6 linked regions of the Oryctolagus cuniculus genome follow. The protein of the gene in region 1 purifies or fractionates together with the protein of each later gene. This does not show direct contact. Links are inferred from orthologs where the notes say so. Each region holds a gene or a part of one and is shown in the gene's direction. Other genes may lie near its edges.

Region 1 (2,561 bases):
GCCCCTCCCCTACTGCAGGTCAGGTCGTGGGCCTCTACTCCCGCTTTGATGTGATCGTAAGTGTGGATGGGGAGCTGGGGGGGGGAGGTGGTGGTGTGAGCACCAGTAGGGGAACTTGGTAGACATGGGGGGACATTTCTGAGGGGGGCTGGAGCCTGAACGGGGGAGTGACCAAGAGCCCCCCTTTGTTCCCTACCCCAGCACCTGGCTGCCCAGCAAACCTACAACCACCTGGACATGAGTGTGGGGGAAGCCCTGAGGCAGAGGACAGTGTGCCTGGAGGGGGTCCTCTCCTGCCAGCCCCACGAGACCCTGGGGGAAGTCATCGACAGGATTGCACGGGAACAGGTACCCCATGCGCCTCCAGGCGCCTCCCCACCCCCACACAGCTCTGTTCTTCTATTCCTGTACGCTGTGCACCTGCTCCGTCCTTCCACTTCCCGACAACTCTTTTCATGACCACGGGGCCCTGGTGCCAAGGGCCACAGCCAGCTTGCATGGCTGCCTGCTTCCTGGGAGATCCCCTCTCGTCCCTGTCCCCAGCCCCGTCAACTTCCTCACCCTGTTTCTTGGGTCCGACCTCTTCCATGGCCATGGTCCCCTGGCTCTGCGCCCTCACTGAGCACGGTCTGCCCACAGGTGCACCGGCTGGTGCTAGTGGATGAGACCCAGCATCTCCTGGGCGTGGTCTCCCTCTCCGACATTCTGCAGGCGCTGGTGCTCAGCCCTGCTGGCATCGACGCCCTCGGTGCCTGAGAACACTGAGTCCTCCCTCCCGGGCCACCTTCTGCACCTGAAGCCAATGAAGGGAGCCGGGGGAACTCGGCCTTCGTCTTCCCCACCCGTTTGCTGGCTCAGCTCTGTCTGGTTCAGGTAGGCTGCACCCTGGGTCTTTCTGGGCTCTCAGATCTCAGATTGGGGCCCACTCCATGTGGCCCCCATGGAAACTCACCAGCCACCACTTTGTCCCATGCTCAGCCGAAGTCCTGGAGGCCTTCCCGGGAGGGGGTGAGGGGACAGAGGATGAGCTAAAGACAAGGATTTCAGGGGCCCTGGGATGGAGTCCCCGCTGTCTCGCTGGCAATACAGCATCTGCTGGGAGATCCATGACAAGGGAGCAAGCTAACAAACCCTTGCTGAGTGGAATCTCCATGCATGAATTCCACCCAGGACTCCCCAGTAGGAGGCAGCTCCCCCTCCTTGCCTGGTCACCGTCTTTGCTTCTGTCTCCCTCACAGATGTCTCCAGCCCTTTCCCTGCCTGTGCTCCCAGAAGCCCTTGGGCGCAGCCACTGCACCATGGGACGATGAGATGAAAGAGAACAGCTAAGCCTGGAGGCCCCTGCACCAACCCTCTGGGATGGCCCCAGGGACACCTGTGCTCCATGACCGCCGGGATTCCTTCCCTCACCTGGGTCAGGACTGGCCCTAGGGGGCAGCAGTGAGCCTGCAGCCCATGGGGTCAGTCAGGGGCTCCAGGTCCCTCGGCTTCGGGATTGCCCCCTACTCACACCCCCAGCCCCTGGGAGTCCCAGCTAGTCATTCAGGGGCTAACTTCACCACCGTCCTCGGACTCTCCCGGCATTGTCGCTCCAGGGCTGCTGGGAGTCACCACGGAGCCACAGTTACTACAGAGCTGCCTGCGGAGTGGGGTCCTCCCTCCGCGCTTCCCCAGAAAGCCCTTAGCTCTCCGCAGCGAGCAGGGCTGCCAGTCCCTGCTGGTGGGTGGCCTTGTATTCGGATCCCTGAGAACAAGCAACGGAAAAAGCAAAAAGAACAATCCCCGAAACCGGCTCTTAGTAGGGCTCACTCAAAATGGCACAGTCATCTAACCTGAGCTTGTGGCAAGATCCCTGTGCTGTCTGAATTCAAAAACGCCAACGAAAATCTGCAGTCGGCAAAAGCTGCAAGTGGCATTTCCTTTGTACCCAAAGTGTATTCCACCAAAATTCCTTTTTTACCTTTTGTTTATAACAAAACCATAACTACCTATGTCTATGGCAGGAAGCACTCCATCTACCAACTCTAAGCTGTGAGAAATATAACTTGTCTAACACCGAGACTCATTTCTACCGTGAACCTGATCTCCACTGTGTACCCCATTTCGATTCGGGGTTAAGATCGGGAGAGAGGGCCGGCACCACGGCTCACTAGGCTAATCCTCCGCCTAGCGGCGCCGGCACACCGGGTTCTAGTCCCGGTCGGGGCGCCGGATTCTGTCCCGGTTGCCCCTCTTCCAGGCCAGCTCTCTGCTGTGGCCAGGGAGTGCAGTGGAGGATGGCCCAGGTGCTTGGGCCCTGCACCCCATGGGAGACCAGGAAAAGCACCTGGCTCCTGGCTCCTGCCATCGGATCAGCGCGGTGCGCCGGCCGTCAGCGCGCCGGCCGCGGCGGCCATTGGAGGGTGAACCAACGGCAAAGGAAGACCTTTCTCTCTGTCTCTCTCTCTCTCACTGTCCACTCTGCCTGTCAAAAAAAAAAAAAAAAAAAAAAAAAAAAAAAAAACAAGATTGGGAGAGAGGGGTGCTTTATGTGGTGCTAGACTTTGCTCCTTAGCCATCAG
Region 2 (4,166 bases), on another chromosome or scaffold:
GCTGCGGCCAGCGCACCGTGCTGATCTGAAGGCAGGAGCCAGGTACTTCTGGTCTCCCATGGGGTGCAGGGCCCAAGGACTTGGGCCATCCTCCACTGCACTCCCTGGCCACAGCAGAGAGCTGGCCTGGAAGAGAGGCAACTGGGACAGAATCCGGCGCCCCGACCGGGACTAGAACCCATTGTGCCGGCGCCACTAGGCGGAGGATTAGCCTAGTGAGCCGCGGCGCTGGTCCCTTTCTTTCTTTCTTTTTTTTTTTTTTAAAGAATTATTATTTTTTAATTTGAAAGACAGAGTTACAGAGAGAGGTAGAGCCAGAGAGGTCTTCCATGTGCTGGTTCACTCCGGAAATGACCGCAACGGCCAGAGCTGAGCAAATCTGAAGCCAGGAGCCGGGAGCCTCCCCTGGGTCTCCACACGGGTGCAGGGGCCCAAGGAGTTAAGCCATCTTCTACTGCTTTCCCAGGCCACAGCAGAAAGGTGGATCACAAGTGGAGCAGCCGGGACTCAAACCCAATTGCCTGTTTCAAATGCTAGGTCCTTTTATAGCAGAGGTTCTCCAAATGTGTTCTGTAGACAACTTTTGCGCCACCAGGTCATGGGGAGTTAGGATAATTGCAAATTTTTAAGCCCTCAAAGATTCTGAATAAGCTTGGAATGAGACCTAAGAATCTATATTATTTAACATTTATTACTATTATTTGAAAGAGAGAGAGAGAGAGAGAGAGAGAGAGAGGGAGAGAGAGAAATCTTGATTCCTTCCACTGATTCATTCTACAAAAGTCCTCAAGTGCCAGGATTGGCCAGAACAAAGCTGGCCAATTCAGGTCTGCCATATGGGTGGCAGGAACCCTATTACTCGATCCATTACTAAGGCCTTTCAGGGTGTTCATTAGCAGGAAACCAGAATTGGAAGCCTAATCAGGATTCAAACCCATACACTCCAGTATGAGATGCTGATGTCTTAGCCACTGTACTAAACATTTTTCCAAAAATTTTTCCAAAAATCAAACATATCACCTCCCTCGAGAATCTCTAATCTAGAAAGTCTTTGGGAGCATTCAGTAGAAATGAGTTCTTTGGTGGAAAACCCAAGCCTTCTAATAGTCTTCTCCATATGGTTAGGCCTGAGGTCTGGGGTCCCTTCTTACTCATCTCTGACAGCACAGGACGAGCTGTAGGACTGAATAACTGATGAGGGTTTGACCTGATCCACGCACTTCTCAATTGAGTAGAAAAACTATCAAACTGTTCAAAGCCACAAGCGAAATCTACACGTTGGGCTGTGTCTGGAAGATGTGGAGGAACAAGCCAGACCTGATAGGTCAGCAAGGGAAGACAAATTGAATCGGAATCTTGAATATTTAGAGTAACCCGCTCCGCAACAGGGAAACAAACCCGATTAGCGGCACGCAGGCGCAGGCGCATTAGGAGGGCGACCCATCAAAACGCAGCCCTTCCCCCACCCCTTTCCGGCCTTCTTCCAATGCGCAGGCGCAGAGGGGTGCATCAAGATGGCGGCCCCCGTGGATCTGGAGTTGAAGAAGGTAAAAGAGGGTCTTGAGCAGGCAGAGGCTTCTCTTTGGAGGCCGAAGGGACTGTGGACAGGAATATCGAGTGAGGCTTGAATGTTTGCGGGAGCAAAGAGGCGCTGGAGGACTGGGGAATGTTTTCCCGGAGGCCTGAGGCGCCGCGGGGCCTCCTTGAGCCGAGTGGGCAGCTAGCGGCTCTTGCTGGGTGGGAGCTAGTTGAGCCGGGCCGGGTCCGAGTGCGAGCTTACCCGTTTGTTCTGAGCCCCAGAGCTATTTCGTTGCGTTTGGAGCCTTCAGGGGCTCAGTTTCATGGTAAGAACAGAAGACAACGTCTTAAAACCTCTTTGGTGCGGTTGCCTGGGGCTGAGGCGTGTGTAATTCTGCCTCATTTAATTCGGGAGAAAAAACCCAACACCTGTTTTAAAGCCATTTATTCCCATCCTGTACCTTGAAAAGCCGCAGGAAGGCATTGTCCCCTCTCCTCCTCCCCTCCTTTTGCGAAGGGCTTGTCTAAAAAAAGGAGCAGCAGAGTTTGCCAAATAAAAGCATTTTGAGAAGGAATTGCGTTTCTTCTGTTCAAACAATTGCTTATAAATGTTTGGTACCGGAGAGCAGTCAGGATTCTAACTCCACTGCCGACTCAAAACGTGTGCTTTGGGGGGCGAGGGCGGATTGGAAAGGACCCTGGACTGCATAGGATTTAAATCTACTTTTCTAGAAAGGGAAACAACTCTAGAGAAGTCTCAAAGAGTGGAATTAGAATACCATGTTCTCTTACAGGTTTTTTTGACCAGTAGTTTAAGTTCTTCATGGAAAACATCTGAACAGTCTTTGCATTAGAAATAGGGCAGCTGAAATAGCTCTTATTAAATGAAGCTGTTACTGTTTTAAAGGTGTTTGCGTCTCGTTTCTTCTGCTGCTCTTGTCTTGAAACTTGTAAGTTGCTTTTACATGCTGTTCTCTAATATCTTGGCTATATCTTCCTCCATAAACTGTATAGAACAGTCAGAAAATACCTGAAATTTTACATTTCAGAATAAAATTGTGTTTTCTGAAAAATTTACCCTTTTTTCCATTAAAAGTGTAAACTTAAACCAAGTTTTATTTATTTATTTATTTATTTTTGACAGGCAGAGTGGACAGTGAGAGAGAGACAGAGAGAAAGGTCTTCCTTTGCCGTTGGTTCACCCTCCAATGGCCGCTGCGGCCGGCGCACCGCGCTGATCCGGTGGCAGGAGCCAGGAGCCAGATGCTTTTCCTGGTCTCCCATGGGGTGCAGGGCCCAAGCACCTGGGCCATCCTCCACTGCACTCCCTGGCCACAGCAGAGAGCTGGCCTGGAAGAGGGGCAACCGGGACAGAATCCGGCGCCCCAACTGGGACTAGAACCTTGTGTGCCAGCGCCGCTAGGCGGAGGATTAGCCTAGTGAGCCGCTGCGCTGGCCTTAAACCAAGATTTTTTAAAAAATATTTTTTTTGAGAGGAAGAATTACAGAAGGTGAGAGGGAGTGATAGAGAGAGGCCTTCCATCCACTGGTTCACTCCGTAAGTGGCCGCAACTGAACCCATCCAAAGCCAGGAGCCAGGAGCTAGGAGCTTATTCCAGGTCTCCTGCGTGGGTACAGGGGCCCAAGGACTTGGGCCATCTTCTGCTGCTTTCCCAGGACATAGCAGAGAGTTGGATTGAAAGAGGAGCAGCTGGGACTAGAACCGGTGCTGCAGAAACCAAGATTTTGATGAAGAACTATCAAAAGTATTAACTGTGAAAGGGCTTGCTTCCCAGTACTCTTTGAATTTATTGATAAGAAACAAGTAAACAATTAATACAAACTAAGAAAAAAATTATAGGCCGGCGCCATGGCTCACTAGGCTAATCCTCTGCCTGCGGCGCTGGCACCACGGGTTCTAGTCCCGGTTGGGGTGCCGGATTCTGTCCCGGTTGCCCCTCTTCCAGGCCAGCTCTCTGCTGTGGCCCGGGAGTGCAGTGGAGGATGGCCCTAGTGCTTAGGCCCTGCACCCGCATGGGAGACCAGGAGGAAGCACCTGGTTCCTGGCTTTGGATCGGCACAGCACACCGGCCACAGCGGCCATTTGGGGGGTGAACCCACGGAAGGAAGGCCTTTCTCTCTGTCTCTCTCACTTTCTAACTCTGCCTGTCAAAAAAAAAAAAAAATTATAGACAAGTTGAATAATTTTGACAACCAATTAACAAGGAAACGTATATCAGTTTTTTTTTTTTTTCTTTTTTAAAGATTTATTTATTTGAAAGGGAGGGAGAGGCAGAAGCAGAGAGAGAATCCATTGATTGATTCCCTAGATGTCTGCAATGGTGGAGCTGGGCCAGGCCAAAGCCAGGAGTTTCTTCCTGGTCTCCCATGTTGGTGCAGGGGCCCAACGACTTGAGCCATCCTCCACTGCCTTCTCAGGCACCCTAGCTAGCAGGAAGCTGGATCAGAAGTGGAACAGCCAGAATTCGATGGCATTGCTGCAGGCTCAACCTTCAGTGCCCTAGCATTGGCTCCGTGTATCAGTTTTATTTCCTAATGTCTTCATAAGCTATTTTTTTGAGTGGTATTTAATAGGAAATATAGACATCTCTTCTTCCCCAAAGTAAATCTTCTGAAACTTTGCTAGA
Region 3 (2,903 bases), on another chromosome or scaffold:
CCACTCACCCAGGCTCCTCAGCAAGCAGCAACTCTGAGCGGGCAGCTTGGACGCTGGTTTCCTCTTCCTCAGCTTCAGCTGCCTCAAGTCTGCTGCGCGTCTTGGACTTGGAAGGCGGCAGCTACAACAGCGTTGGGAGTGGAGGAGGAGGAGGAGGAGGAGCGGAGGGAGAACACGGAGAATCACAGCAGAGCCACCGGGCCCCACCTCCATCCTTCTCACCCAGGCGCTCCCAGCCTCCAGTCCTTCCCCACCGTCCAGCGATTCTCACCTTTTTAGATTTGTCAATGCGACGGAACTTCCGGGCTGCCTCCACCGGGACGGGGGCGGGGCCCGGGAAGGGGTCCTGGGCCTGGGGCAGAGAGGAGGCAGTCAGCTCACAGCTTCGGGCTGACCCCCCAACCCTTTCACTCGCAAAGCACAGAGAAACCTGCCCCCGCCACCCTGCCGCGGTGCAGGCTCACCCCAGACAAGCTCCGCTGGGGCTCCGGCTTCTTCGGCCCTCGAGACTTCCTCGCGACCAGGGTCTTCTTGGAGATGCGCGACTTCTTTGTGACCTGAGTGTTCTTTGGTCTCTGGGGCCGGAGCTCCCGGTTCCGCTTCTTCTTAGGAGGCGGGCCTGGAGAGGCGCCGGTGGCGCTCGGAGTGGTGTCCACTTCCCAGTATCGCCGCGGTTTCTACGGGCAGATCAGGAGCCCTGGAACTCCGCGGCCCACGTCCCGCCCCCGAACCCCACAGCTAAAACCTCCCTGCCCGTCCAGAGAAGCCTGTACCTTCCTCTTGGCCTGAGGTTTGTCCTTCTTGGGTGGGGCATCCTGACTGGCCTTTGGGACTGTCTCCATCTCGCCCACTGGAACAACGATCCACGTGCAAATCTCTCAGCTGTCCCACAGTCGGCTTAGACTCTCCCGGAAGTCCTCTGTTCCGCCTCAGCCAATCAGCATCGTTCCAGGGCTGAAGTCTTGAGCACGCCATCTTGAGTGAGGGCACACTCTCCTTTAAGGGGCGGGGCGTGCTGTGGCATCTCCCTCGGGCGCCGCAGCTTATACCCGAGGAATGGGGAAAAAAAGTCAAGTCCGGGCCAGAAACCAGTAACAGAATAGTCTTTTTCCGGATTAACTTCTCTGTCTTGCCTAAAACCTTCTGAGTCCAGTCATTTCAGCCGAATGCCGCTTATTAAAAATGTTAGAACTACATTTCCCGACATGCAACCTGGAGGCAACTTCCGGATTGATTTTCCCAGCATTCCATGTTTACTTCCGGGTTGATTAATACAGAAGGGAGAACGTGAGTAGGTTAGGGTACCGTTTCAGGGGTTTTGCGTTTCTTTTCGTCCTGCACCCACTGGGGTCGGGTCGATTCGACTTCCCGGACAGGGAGAGGCCGCGGTGCCCCGAAGGACTGCCTCTCAAGAGGACTGTCATTTCCGTCGGCCCGACCAGAAAGGGGAGCTCGACCCCAGCGCCCCTCTCCCGTTCCCGCAGGCTTTCATCCCCGCCATGGCCGAGCTGATCCAGAAGAAGCTGCAGGGAGAAGTGGAGAAGTATCAACAGCTACAGAAGGGTAAGGGACCGGGTGGGCGTAGTCTCGCCGCAGCCCGCAGACTAGCCGAAACGAGCTCTCCGCCCCAGCCGGCCCGCTCCTTCCCCGCCTGTATACTCGCCCCTTCTTCCCGGTCTGCTTCCTCACATCCGCCTTCTGGGCCAGGACTGTGGGAGCCCGTGGCACTCTTGGTGTCCCACTCACGTCTCCCTTCCTCCCTAGACTTGAGTAAATCCATGTCAGGGAGGCAGAAGCTTGAAGCCCAACTAACGGAAAACAACATCGTGAAGGAGGTGAGGGGCCGGGAGTTGTGGGGGCGGAGCAGCCTGGACCGGCTGCGGTTCTGATCAGACCCGTCCCGCTCGCCCACCAGGAACTGGCTCTGCTGGACGGGTCCAACGTGGTCTTTAAACTGCTGGGGCCGGTGCTGGTTAAGCAGGAGCTGGGGGAGGCGCGGGCCACGGTGGGGAAGAGGCTGGACTACATCACAGCTGAAATGTGAGTTTTTGTCCCACTGCCCTGGCTGTCGGCCGGCGGGTGCTGGGGACCTGAGTGGATTGCCCTTCGGAGCAGCCCACGGAAGCCTCCCCTTTTAACGCGGCCTGCCCCTCCCCCTAGCAAGTCCCTCTAACTTCTCCCTGTCTTCTCTGGCCCCTGGCCTCTCCTCAGTAAGCGATACGAATCCCAGCTCCGGGACCTGGAACGGCAGTCAGAGCAGCAGAGGGAGACCCTGGCCCAGCTGCAGCAGGAGTTCCAGCGGGCCCAGGCGGCCAAGGCAGGGGCTCCCGGGAAGGCCTGACCTCGGGGCGGGGCGGGGTGGGATGGGCCACTCTAAGTACCTAATAAAATGTAAACACCTGGCTCTGTTGTCCTGCTTGTCTGTTCCCCCGGCCTCCATCACCTGACCCACACACCACACACCACTGTTACTCCCTCAAGCCCACATTCCAGCACCTGCAGTCTCTGGAACTAAACTCTAAAATGTCTCAAAGCTGCTCCTCACCTGTACTCGTATGTACAGCCCTTAATTCTCCGTTATTTTCCTAAGACACGGCCTTTTAGGAAACACAAGGACATTTACAACCTAAGCATATTGTTGGGAGTGTCGTTTAAATTGAAGAACTCAGAATTCTCTGAGAACCCAGGATGAAATGTGACTCCTCCCCTTGCTGTGAATACAAGTGCTCCGTAGGGCTCATGGGAAAATGGAAATAAAAGGTTGGGTTACAGCAGGTGGGGGCTTTTGACTCTGCTTCTCAATAAAAATATTTCCATGCAAGACATTTTGAATCATGCATTTTCCATGTACTCTTTGAAGACCCATCACATGCATGACTCCAAAGCTTCTGTACCAAAATAAC
Region 4 (3,500 bases), on another chromosome or scaffold:
TATACAGTGTCTTCAGAACTACCTTTCTTGAAACATTTATCACATTTCACTAATTTTGAGTCAGACTTAGGTTGAAATTTTGGCTTTGCCACTCATTAGCTGTGTACCTTTGGGCAAGTTATATCATTTTGCTGAACTTCAATTTCCTGTAAAATGTTGCTAATACTCATCTTCAGGGCTGGTGAGAGAGCATGTTTGGATCCAAATTGGGTATGTCAGAAATACTAACTAGTGAGCTGTATACCTTAATTACATTATGTTTTATAGATCGACTACATTTTATATTGTAAAAATTATAATTTGTAAGTCAAATGACCTGTGTTTTTTTTCCCCCTCTAACTTTTCTATGATCAAAGAAGTATTCTTGTAGTTTTTACGTAATAGATAAAGTCACTGTCAGGGAGTGGTGCTATAAGTAAATACACATATGCCTAAGAATAATCAGTTGAACTTTAACTAAAGTCAGGAAATTGGTTGAACTTTGGAAGTTGGAAATCTCAGCAATGGTGGTGGTGGTAGAGCAGGTTGGTGAGAATGAAACTTGTGGGAATGGGAACTAGATGCATGAAAATGATGGTATTATTTATGTAGTACTTATATGTCTGCATAAAAGAATGCTTTAGAATCTAAAAGAGTGCAGATCAAAGAACTGAGATAAGACTGGCTGTTCAGATATTAAAGCAGATAATTCAGTTCTAGGAACAACAGAAAATCAATAACCCTAACTAGTAGTAGCTAGGGGCCAGTGCTGTGGTGTAGTGGGTGAAGCTGCTGCCTCTGACACCGGCATCCCTTATTGGCACTGGTTTAAGTACTGGCTGCTCCACTTCTGATCCAGCTTCCTGCTAATGTGCCTGGGAAAGCAGTGGAAGATGGCCCAAGTACTTGGGTCCCTGCACCTGTGTGGGAGACCCAGAAGAAGAAACTGGCTTCAGATCGGCCCAGCCTCAGCTGTTGTGGCCATTTGGGGAGTGAACCAGTGGATGGAAGGCTTCTCTCTTTGCTTCTGCCTCTCTGTAACTCGGCTTTCCAAATAAATAAATCTTTTAAAAAAATTAGTAGTAGCTAACATTTATTTATTGATCATTCACTGTGTGGCAGGCATTCTGGAAAGTGCCTTACAAACACTACTTCATGTATTCATCACAGTCACTGTTATGGAGTATGTGGTATTCTTATTTTTACAAATGAGTAAATAGAAGGTTAAAGTTTTTATACTTGCCAAGTCAAACATCTATTAAGTACCTTCAAACAGGATTAAACTAAAGTCTGTCATGATGGAGTTTTTTGGAATGATGGAACTGCTGTATATCCTAGTATAATGGTGGTTACATCAATTTCTACACCTGTTAAAGACTATAGAACTGTATATCCCCTTAGTAGTTCAATTTATATGTATGGTAATTTTAAAGTACAAAAATATATACAGCAAAAAGAAAGTCTCTTTTCTTTTTCTTTCTTGTCTTAGCCTTCTAGCTTTCCCTTCTATAAGAGATCACTTTTACCGTTTTCTTAGTATTTTTCATTCAGATTCATTCTGAAACATTTGAACATGCAGGGCAAATATTGGGCAGAAGAGAAAAGAACTTAAATCTGTTCACATATTTTCTGAGAATGCTAACCTTACTACTCTTAGAATAGATCTAAATATATTATTAGTCAAGCCTTATATTTATTAAAATTATTTCTCTTACAGTTGGCAAACATGAATTGACTGGGCATAAAGTTGCCGTGAAGATACTCAATCGACAGAAAATTCGAAGCCTGGATGTGGTAGGAAAAATCCGCAGAGAAATTCAGAACCTCAAGCTTTTCAGGCATCCTCATATAATTAAATTGTAAGCTTGTTCACATTAAACATGGTTCAGTCATCTTTTTATCACTTTTGTTAATCTACTTCATCTTCCTCTGAGAAATATTACTGATATTTCTGTTTCCTGAGGGTTTTGCAAAGTTTCTTCCTGCTCATGTATTTTTTCTAACCCTGTTTGGTCAGTTAAGCCTGTCTTTGTGTTTTGACCTTGTGCTTCTTAGCTATTATCCTTCTTATTCTTTCATCTTCTGGACAGATGTCCTTCTGACTGACAGTGTTCCATGCCCCTATTGCTATTGAACCAGCAATGATTTGCTAGTAAAAACAACCTAAATTTCCACATAATGTCACTTAGCCTCACTAATGACAATGCAGTGAAAAAGATTTCCCCTCATCCTATTTATATCTGATCATACATATAACAAAACTATAGGAATCTATTATTTGAAAAGGGCAGTAATCCAGTAACCCTTCTATTGTATTGCTACCAGTTGTAGCACCTACAGGTAATAAATTTACTATTCACTTCCTGCTTTGTTATGCAAGCTATAATTTGAAACCTCACAGCCTTTTCTAATGAACTGGATGACTCAAAATTTGTTTCACTGTCACCTCTTCTCATTTGTTGAGGTATATGTTATTTTTAAGGATTTGTTTATTTGAAAGGCAAAACAACAGAGATAGGAAGAAACAGTAAGAGAGAGAGAGAGAAAAAATCTTCTATCTGCTGGTTTACTGCCCAAATAGCTGCAAGAGTCAGGGTTGGTTCAGGCCATTGCCAGGAGCCTGGAACTCCATCCAGGTCTCTGACCTGGGGAGCAGGGGCCCAAGTACTTGGACCATCATCTGTAGCTTTCCTGGGCACATTAAAAGGGAGCTGGTTTGGAAGTGGAACAGCTGTTACTTGAACCCAAGCACTCCAATATAGGATGCCAGCATTGTAAGCAGCTGTTTAACTTGTTGCACCACAATGCTGGCATATATATATATATATATATATATATATATATATATATATAAAATTTATTTGAAAGGCAGAAAGAGAGAGGTCTCTCGTCCACTGGTTTACTCCCCAAATGGCTGCATTGGCTGGAGCTGGGCCAATCTGAAGCCAGGAGCAGGAGTTCCTTCGAGTCTCTCGTGGGTATGGGGCCCAAGGTCTTGGGCCATCTTCTACTGCTTTCCCAGGCCATAACAGAAAGCTGGATGGGAAGTGGAGCAGCTGGGACTTGAACCAGCACATATATGGAATTCCAGCACTGCAGGTGGCAGCTTTATCTGCTATGCCACAGTACGCTGGCCTCATGTTGAGATGGTATTAAGTAACATCTGTATGCTACTGTTCCCTAAATGTGTATATCCTGCTTTGAAACTTCTAAACTCTAGACTCACAAGCTCACTGCTGATTTTACAGCTCCATTTGGATGTATGTGAGGCATTTCAAACCCTATGTGGCCAAAGCTGAACTCTGTTACCCTCTTAAACCTGCTCTTCCCATAGTTTTCACCATCTCCATTAATAGCCAGTTACCAAGAGGAAAAACTTAGGAACCATCCTTAATTTCCCTATTTCTCCCACTTCCTACCATCTGTTCCATTTTATCCTTTAAAATATATCTAGGATTTGACTATTTCTGAGTTTCTTTATTTCCATCAAACTGGTCTGAACCATCTTAATTTCTCATGAC
Region 5 (3,500 bases), on another chromosome or scaffold:
TATGTGAAAATGAGCTTGCAACTTTACCTGGTTGATAATAGAAGCTATCTTTTGGACTTTAAAAGCATTGATGGTAAGGAAGCTGTGCAGGTATAAACTCTTAAGAAAGTAAAACTTGGCACTAGTTGATCAGATTTTAAAATCATCTCAAAGACATGGTGGGTAAATATTGACGGGTTTTTAAGTAATCTAGACAAAATATTAAGTGAAATTATTTTTTGATATAATGGAAGATATTAAGTTGTCAATGATATGTTTTCTTCAAATGTGGGGCTATCAGTTTGATTTCAATATTAATACCACATATTTTGTCGAGAAGGATTTAGGGATCATATTTTGACCATGTGGAAGTGTTGTGATTGATTAGTGATGGATTAGGAGGAAAGAGCTATTACCACCTCTGCTCCTGAAACACTGAACATGACATTTATTACTAAGCTGCCTTTGTTCCAATATGTTTATATAATCTCCTGAATATAGCAATTTCGTAGAGGACTTGGGCAAATAGAATTTATGTATGAATTGTTCTTTTGTCCTTTCCAGATGAGGTAGTGGAACAGAGGTCTGGTTCCTCAACACCTCAGCGCTCCTGCTCTGCGGCTGGCTTACACAGGCCAAGATCAAGTTTTGATTCTACCACTGCAGAGAGTCATTCGCTTTCTGGCTCTCTCACTGGCTCTTTGACAGGAAGCACATTGTCTTCAGTTTCACCTCGCCTGGGCAGTCACACCATGGATTTTTTTGAAATGTGTGCCAGTCTGATCACTACTTTAGCACGTTGATGATCTGTCCCTGGTTTCTATCTTTCTGTTACTGCACTGTGAAAGATGAGATATATTCTTTAAATTATTATCTTACTTCTGGATGTCACATATCTGCAATACTAATTAAGAGACATGAATATTTCCAGGGGACACTCGATGCCATTGAAATTATTGAAAACAAAAATGTCTGACATTTTATTTACCTGTAGAACTCTGTAATTCTAACGTGCCTGTGATAAAATCACATAGGCAGTGTCTTTAACTATTGGACATCAATGAAGATTGTTAATTCACAGGTGTGGGTTCACTTCAGGTGATTTACTCAACTCACTGAGGAACCCTCTCAACATGAGAGGGGTTTGTCAATACCTCCCTGCTTCACTCTTTATTGTAGGTCAGTCACATTTGCTTCCTAAATTTCAGTAGGCTTTAAGCAGTGTTTATACAACCCCAGTTTTCTTGAACAAGATTTAAAACACAACCACTAGTTAGATATTATATAAATGGTGAATTCTTAAAAACTTGCCCTCCCAAATTTCAGAAGCCAAGTTTTTGCAAATATTGCCTAGTGCTCACCAGAAGGGCTGTGGTCCTGTAATAGGTAACCACGATTTCCAGGTACCTTATAAACAGTTATAGAAACCTCAGGACTTTATCTTGAGATTTCCCTAAATAATAGGTTTTAGCCTAAGAGCTTTCAGGGTTCGATTTGGTATTGGAACAAATCATCTGGAATTGCAACAATTTTTATCTTTTCTATAAACATGTCCTTTTAAAATACGCCTTCAAAACCTACTTTTCTCAAATTTGTTTTGGCTTGTTTTATGTTTTTGCACTTAACAAAGAATAATACAATAGTAGACAGTTAAATGAAACAAAGCAACGTATCAATGATCCCTTAAAAGTGAACTCTTATTTTTGATCCTTTATTTTGTATGTATGAGATGGGGATTAGGGGGAGTTAAGGAGGTGAAGGTCTTCTTGCATTTCACATTGCAAATTCTTCATTTAAAGTTTAAGTTTCTAATCGCTGTCACCTCCTTAACCCAACTAATCACCATTGTCTTTGCTCATTGTTTGATCCTCAGTGGTCCATTAACTTAGCTTTTGAGTCTTTCCCACTACCTTTCTTGGTTGCTGGCCATTCAGTTTGAAAACACCATTCTGGCCCCAAGGGCTTTTATGTACTCCCAAAACTTGAGAGGCCATGACCTTCACTGTTGAACCTGATATGGCAGAGAAGCCTTAAACATTGAGAAAAGTTCTCTCTTGAATAAATGTATGTGTTGTTTACATATATACATATATGTATTCACATACTAGTGCTTTTCAGAAAAACCAAACATTTTTTGCTGTTTTGTTTCATGCAGGTTATTTTTAAGATTAAAAAAGAAAACTATATATCAGGGTAGATAATAACTCATTTATTATATTTTGTTTTAAAAATATTTAATTTTTAAATTATGTGTAATTTATCTAAATTGTATTTATTCATTTATTGTATTTAATATGTTATAATTAACAATCTCATTCACATGACTTACTCTAAAAAATATTAAGCTCTTGAAAACGAAACAAAACAAAGTGATGACATTGCCTTGACAAATTTCTCTTTGCCAAAAATAGGATATTTTCTACCAAGAAGCAGATGTTAGAAAACGTTTCTCCCGTGCTTATCAAAGACAAGAATGTCTGTCTTGGAATGTTTTTTTAAGTTCTGAGTTTGCATTGTATCACATTGTTTTTAGGTCTCTTAAAAATGTTGTTAAGTAACTTGTAAGTTGGGCTTGTTAATGTCAAAATAAAAGGGATCCTTGTTCACCAGTCTGGGGAGCGGGATGGTCTGGAGTTTGAGATAGTACTGAAGTTTAACCTTTGAAACATTGCCATCTTGTGGCACCAGTAGGCTGTTGTTTCATTTACTGTTTTAGGTGGGTAAGTAGTCCTGTATTAGTTTGATATTCAGTCTGCTAAATGGCATCATTTTGGCTTCTCCAAATGTGTACAGGCCTCTTTTGAGAAAAACAGAACCATTCAGTCTTTGCCTGAATATGAATGGAAAGATCTTAGAAATAAGGAACTAAACAGATTCCTTTTCCCCAGTAGCAAAGTCCACAATTTTGAAGGCAGAGAAACAATGAGAAATAATCCAGTGGCATTTTAGTTTTGTTATTCTAATGAGCCAGATAATAGAAACTTATTCACATCAAATTTATATGGATGATTATCATATGTTTTGAGAGTTAAAAATTTATTAATTTTTTTCTCATTCTTACCAGAATTTGTGAACATCCACAGATTGATAATTGCTTGTTGACTTGTAGGAGACCCAAAGGGTGCAGTTTTGTTTATTCCATTTGTAAATTTTTTTAAAACAGATATTCTGTGACTCTAGATGGTTTAGTGAAATAGTTTGTAGAGAGGAGACATTAGGAGACCCTGTCTAGCTCAATAGTAGACTCTTTGTTACCTGTGAGCACAAGAAGGGAAAGAATCAATTTCTAATCTAAAATTCCTACATATCAGTCTTAGATATTGCTGAACTGTGGATGATAGATAGGTCTGAGCCAAGCACAATGTCCTGCAATCAAGACACTTCAGGAGAGCTTCTGTTATTGGGCTATAGATAAAGCTTTAGATGTGTCATGGGAATAGACTCCATGTGGTTCTAGAACAGCATGCCTCATAGTGCATCCTGTGAGATACTCTGCTGAGGAAAAGAGTTCATGATGGAGT
Region 6 (3,500 bases), on another chromosome or scaffold:
GGGAGACCCAGAAGAAGCTCCTGGGTCCTGGCTTTGGATCTGCACAGCTCTGGCCGTTGTAACCAACTGGAAAGTCAACCAGTAGATGGAAGACCTCTCTCTTTCTGACTTTCAAGTAAATAAATAAATCTATAAAAGAAAATAAAAGACTAACCTCCTTAACTTTGTAATTATAATAACTTTGTAATTATAATTCTAAAGCAAAAGTCTTTGTAAAAAGACTTATTGGAAAGGCAGAGTGACACACAGAGAGACAGAGAGATGAAGAGAGAAATCTCCCATCTGCTGGTTCACTCCCCCAATGGCCTCAACAGCCAGGATTGGGTCAGGCCCAAACCAGGAACCTGGAACTGTATTCAGGTCTCCCCCGTGGGTGGTAGGGCCCAAGTCCTCCACTGCCTTTCCTGGTGCATTACCAGAGAGCTGGAGCAGAAGCGGAACAGCTGGGACTTGAGTAGGCAGGACTCAAACCAGTGCTCGTGTGGGACACTGGTGTCACAGGGAGTGTGGCTTAACCCACTGTGAGACAACGCCAGACCTATTCTTAAAAAATTAATTTAGTATTAAATGTTTCAGACATATCACAAGGTACAAACAATACTGTAAGGTCAGTGCTCTGATATGGATGCCAGCGTTTCAGGCAGTGACTTAACCTGTAATGCCACAGTGCCAGCCCCTAAAATATTTTAAGAAAATGATGAAAAATAAGCAATATTTTATTTTATTTTAAAATAAGTATGTATGAGTGGATCGATAGAATGTGGGGGTGGGGGTGAGAGACAGAGGACAGAAAAGAGTGCTTCCATTCCCTGGTTCACTCCTCAAATACTTGCAAGGATCCCAAGCTGGCGGCCAAAGCCAGGAGCTTGGAACTCAGTTTAGGTCTCCCATGCAGGTGGCAAAGACCCAGCTATTTAGTCAATATCTGCTGCTCCAGTGGCAGAAATATGGGATCAGGAATAGACCCAAGTCCCAAATTCAGGCACTGTAATAAGGGATGCAAGGGGGGTCGGCACCGTGGCTCACTTGGTTAATCCTCCGCCTACGGTGCCGGCATCCCATGTGGGTGCCGAGTTCTAGTCCCGGTTGCTCCTCTTCCAGTCCAGCTTTCTGCTGTGGCCCGGGAGGGCGGTGGAGGATGGCCCAGGTGCTTGGGCCCCTGCACCCACATGGGAGACCAGGAAGAAGCACCTGGCTCCTGGCTTCAGATTGGCGTGGCACCAGCCACAGTGGCCATTTGGGGAGTAAACCAACAGAAGGAAGACCTTTCTTTCTGTCTCTCTCTCTCACTGTCTGTAACTCTACCTGTCAAATTATATATATATATATATATATATATATATATATATATATATGGGATGCAAGGTCCTCAACTGGCAGTTTCAGTGCTAAACCAAATGCCTGCCTCCATTGTAATGCTTTTAAATTATATTTAGCTGGCCTTATTTGTAATAATCAAAGCATTCTAAGTGCACAACAGTAGGAATTTGGTTAATTATCTTATATTCATCTTCAGAACTCCAGTTTGAGAATACTTAATGACATAGAAAAGTGCTCATGCTATATATTAGTAAGTTATAAGAAATTTATATGCCAAAATGTTGAGTTATTATTTTGTGATGGTGGGATTACACATAATTTTACTTTTCCTTTCTATCAGTTTATTTTCCAAATTTTCTACACCAAACATATACTATTATATCTGTAAAAAGAAAATCAAATGCTATATGTAAGCTAGCACTGATTTTTCATTCTGTGAGTGATTTTCTTGGGAACATATTATTATCTTACAGGATCATTAGAGAACATAGGACATTTTTTGTGGATGTTGTCAATGACTAAGGCTTGAATTTTGTTTAAAGTCACAATAATACCACAAGTTCACCAGTTATTATTTCATAACTCATTACAAATAACATTTTATGCATATTTTTGTGTATCAAGCCCAAGAAATAAATGAAAATATTTAAAATAATGTTACTAAGACCCTGGAGGACTCCAAGATGAAATGGATAATCTGTATGTAAATACTTAAGTTCTCTGTTGCTTTCATGAATTTGCAGCTCCTCCGTGGGTAGTGCACTTCCACGAAGACGCTGCTGTGCATACATTACTATTGGAATGATTTGTATTTTCATTGGAGTTGGATTAACTGTGAGTATTACTTTACCATTTGAATTCTTTCCCCTTAACTATCAATAATGGTGAGGTCTGGTCCCTGACCAATGGTCCCTGAAAAGGCTTGCACACTGGCGTGCCAGGCCCAGAAGCTTCTGAAGGATCATGGGTCATCAGAAACCCAATCCAAGGCCTGTTTTTCAAATGGAGCCTGGTCGTCCAAATGAAATGGTGTCTTTGAACCCCTTGAAAAGTCTGAAAAGTCCTTGACATTGGGGACTTTACCATCCATTTAACTAAAGCCCATTTGTTTTGATTATGTGGCCATGGAGTATCTTTTTCTCCTTAAGCCAAGCAGAGATTTATTACTGATGTGAGGATTGGCTTATTTTTAGGGGAGACGGAAGCCAAACAGTTGCCGTGGGGATTATGCAAGGGAAGAGGAAGGAATTGTCCCATTTTGCTGCCATTTACTTTCTGTGCTCTTTGTTCCTTAGTTAGTCCACCTGGTCCCAGGTTAGTAGCAGGTTGTGTCACAGGATAGTTAGGAGTTACACAGATTAGATACACTTTAGCGATAACATTTTAATGTGCCTTTTTGTTTACTTCATAAAACTGATTGTAAATATAGGTAGCAATATCATCTGTCAGTTTTAGTCAGCAGATGTTAAACCTACTCGGGTTTTATAAAGACTTTGTGGATTCTCTCTGGGAATCTAGTTCATATAAATTGCATATAAACCAAAACATGTTCTCTAAGTGGGTATTTTCTTCAAGTTTCTAATATTGTGTTTTCATATTGCTTTTTGTTTTAGGTTGGCACCCAAGACTTTGCAAGGCGATTTCGTGCAACCTATGTTTCTTGGGCAATTGCTTATCTTCTAGGTCTGATCTGCCTTATCAGAGCTTGTTACTGGGGAGTCATAAGAGTCAGCTATCCAGAACACAGTTTTGCATAAGCTTGCTTAGGATTCAGTGATAACAGGTGAGAGTGTCTAGCTACTCTGGACATCTTCAAATCATTTATCCTAATGGATTCCATTCTGGTTTATGTATAATAGTTTCAAGACTTTCAGAGTCTTTTATGAACAAATGCTCATTGCACTACATTATATGCAAATAGATTGTTTTGCTGCTAGGTTTTCAAATTTGGAATAATAAAGCTGTGTTTTTATGTTCTTTAAAATCTCTTAAAGATATTTTCAGATTTGTCACCAAACAGTGCATATAGTCTCATGCTTTCATTATTTTTTAGTTATTCCATTACTTGTTGTTGAGTATTCCCAAGAATTGTTAATGAATGTTTCAATAGGTTCACATTTATACTTACATTTTAATTAAATGCCATCAAAATTGCTTGCTTTAAAATCTAAACAATGTGC

The links.
Region 2: the proteins of PRKAG3 (region 1) and PFDN1 purify together in Homo sapiens (affinity purification with mass spectrometry; 3 studies listed by BioGRID and IntAct, counting the BioPlex papers as one, with this or other methods). This does not show direct contact. The link is inferred for Oryctolagus cuniculus from reciprocal best matches to the Homo sapiens genes PRKAG3 and PFDN1.
Region 3: the proteins of PRKAG3 (region 1) and PFDN6 purify together in Homo sapiens (affinity purification with mass spectrometry; 3 studies listed by BioGRID and IntAct, with this or other methods). This does not show direct contact. The link is inferred for Oryctolagus cuniculus from reciprocal best matches to the Homo sapiens genes PRKAG3 and PFDN6.
Region 4: the proteins of PRKAG3 (region 1) and PRKAA1 purify together in Homo sapiens (affinity purification with mass spectrometry; 3 studies listed by BioGRID and IntAct, counting the BioPlex papers as one, with this or other methods). This does not show direct contact. The link is inferred for Oryctolagus cuniculus from reciprocal best matches to the Homo sapiens genes PRKAG3 and PRKAA1.
Region 5: the proteins of PRKAG3 (region 1) and PRKAA2 purify together in Homo sapiens (affinity purification with mass spectrometry; 3 studies listed by BioGRID and IntAct, counting the BioPlex papers as one, with this or other methods). This does not show direct contact. The link is inferred for Oryctolagus cuniculus from reciprocal best matches to the Homo sapiens genes PRKAG3 and PRKAA2.
Region 6: the proteins of PRKAG3 (region 1) and PIP4P2 purify together in Homo sapiens (affinity purification with mass spectrometry; 3 studies listed by BioGRID and IntAct, with this or other methods). This does not show direct contact. The link is inferred for Oryctolagus cuniculus from reciprocal best matches to the Homo sapiens genes PRKAG3 and PIP4P2.

The regions. Positions count from the first base shown.
Region 1 is NC_091434.1:20,619,485-20,622,045, forward strand, and holds the end of PRKAG3 (5'-AMP-activated protein kinase subunit gamma-3), read left to right. Parts: intron 1-18; coding exon 19-56; intron 57-201; coding exon 202-348; intron 349-639; coding exon 640-756; 3' UTR 757-873; intron 874-1,238; 3' UTR 1,239-2,061; downstream 2,062-2,561. UniProt on the Homo sapiens protein: AMP/ATP-binding subunit of AMP-activated protein kinase (AMPK), an energy sensor protein kinase that plays a key role in regulating cellular energy metabolism.
Region 2 is NC_091437.1:27,961,788-27,965,953, reverse strand, and holds the start of PFDN1 (prefoldin subunit 1), read left to right. Parts: upstream 1-1,366; 5' UTR 1,367-1,514; coding exon 1,515-1,547; intron 1,548-4,166. UniProt on the Homo sapiens protein: Binds specifically to cytosolic chaperonin (c-CPN) and transfers target proteins to it. Binds to nascent polypeptide chain and promotes folding in an environment in which there are many competing pathways for nonnative proteins.
Region 3 is NC_091436.1:135,834,645-135,837,547, reverse strand, and holds PFDN6 (prefoldin subunit 6), read left to right. Parts: upstream 1-1,241; 5' UTR 1,242-1,499; coding exon 1,500-1,563; intron 1,564-1,764; coding exon 1,765-1,835; intron 1,836-1,915; coding exon 1,916-2,040; intron 2,041-2,211; coding exon 2,212-2,341; 3' UTR 2,342-2,403; downstream 2,404-2,903. Other genes in the region: WDR46 (WD repeat-containing protein 46), read right to left, coding at 9-121, 272-352, 465-677, 774-842. UniProt on the Homo sapiens protein: Binds specifically to cytosolic chaperonin (c-CPN) and transfers target proteins to it. Binds to nascent polypeptide chain and promotes folding in an environment in which there are many competing pathways for nonnative proteins.
Region 4 is NC_091445.1:66,041,618-66,045,117, reverse strand, and holds part of PRKAA1 (5'-AMP-activated protein kinase catalytic subunit alpha-1), read left to right. Parts: intron 1-1,696; coding exon 1,697-1,838; intron 1,839-3,500. UniProt on the Homo sapiens protein: Catalytic subunit of AMP-activated protein kinase (AMPK), an energy sensor protein kinase that plays a key role in regulating cellular energy metabolism.
Region 5 is NC_091438.1:116,460,579-116,464,078, reverse strand, and holds part of PRKAA2 (5'-AMP-activated protein kinase catalytic subunit alpha-2), read left to right. Parts: coding exon 1-73; intron 74-543; coding exon 544-782; 3' UTR 783-3,500. UniProt on the Homo sapiens protein: Catalytic subunit of AMP-activated protein kinase (AMPK), an energy sensor protein kinase that plays a key role in regulating cellular energy metabolism.
Region 6 is NC_091437.1:116,416,130-116,419,629, reverse strand, and holds part of PIP4P2 (type 2 phosphatidylinositol 4,5-bisphosphate 4-phosphatase), read left to right. Parts: intron 1-2,063; coding exon 2,064-2,154; intron 2,155-2,933; coding exon 2,934-3,077; 3' UTR 3,078-3,500. UniProt on the Homo sapiens protein: Catalyzes the hydrolysis of phosphatidylinositol-4,5-bisphosphate (PtdIns-4,5-P2) to phosphatidylinositol-4-phosphate (PtdIns-4-P).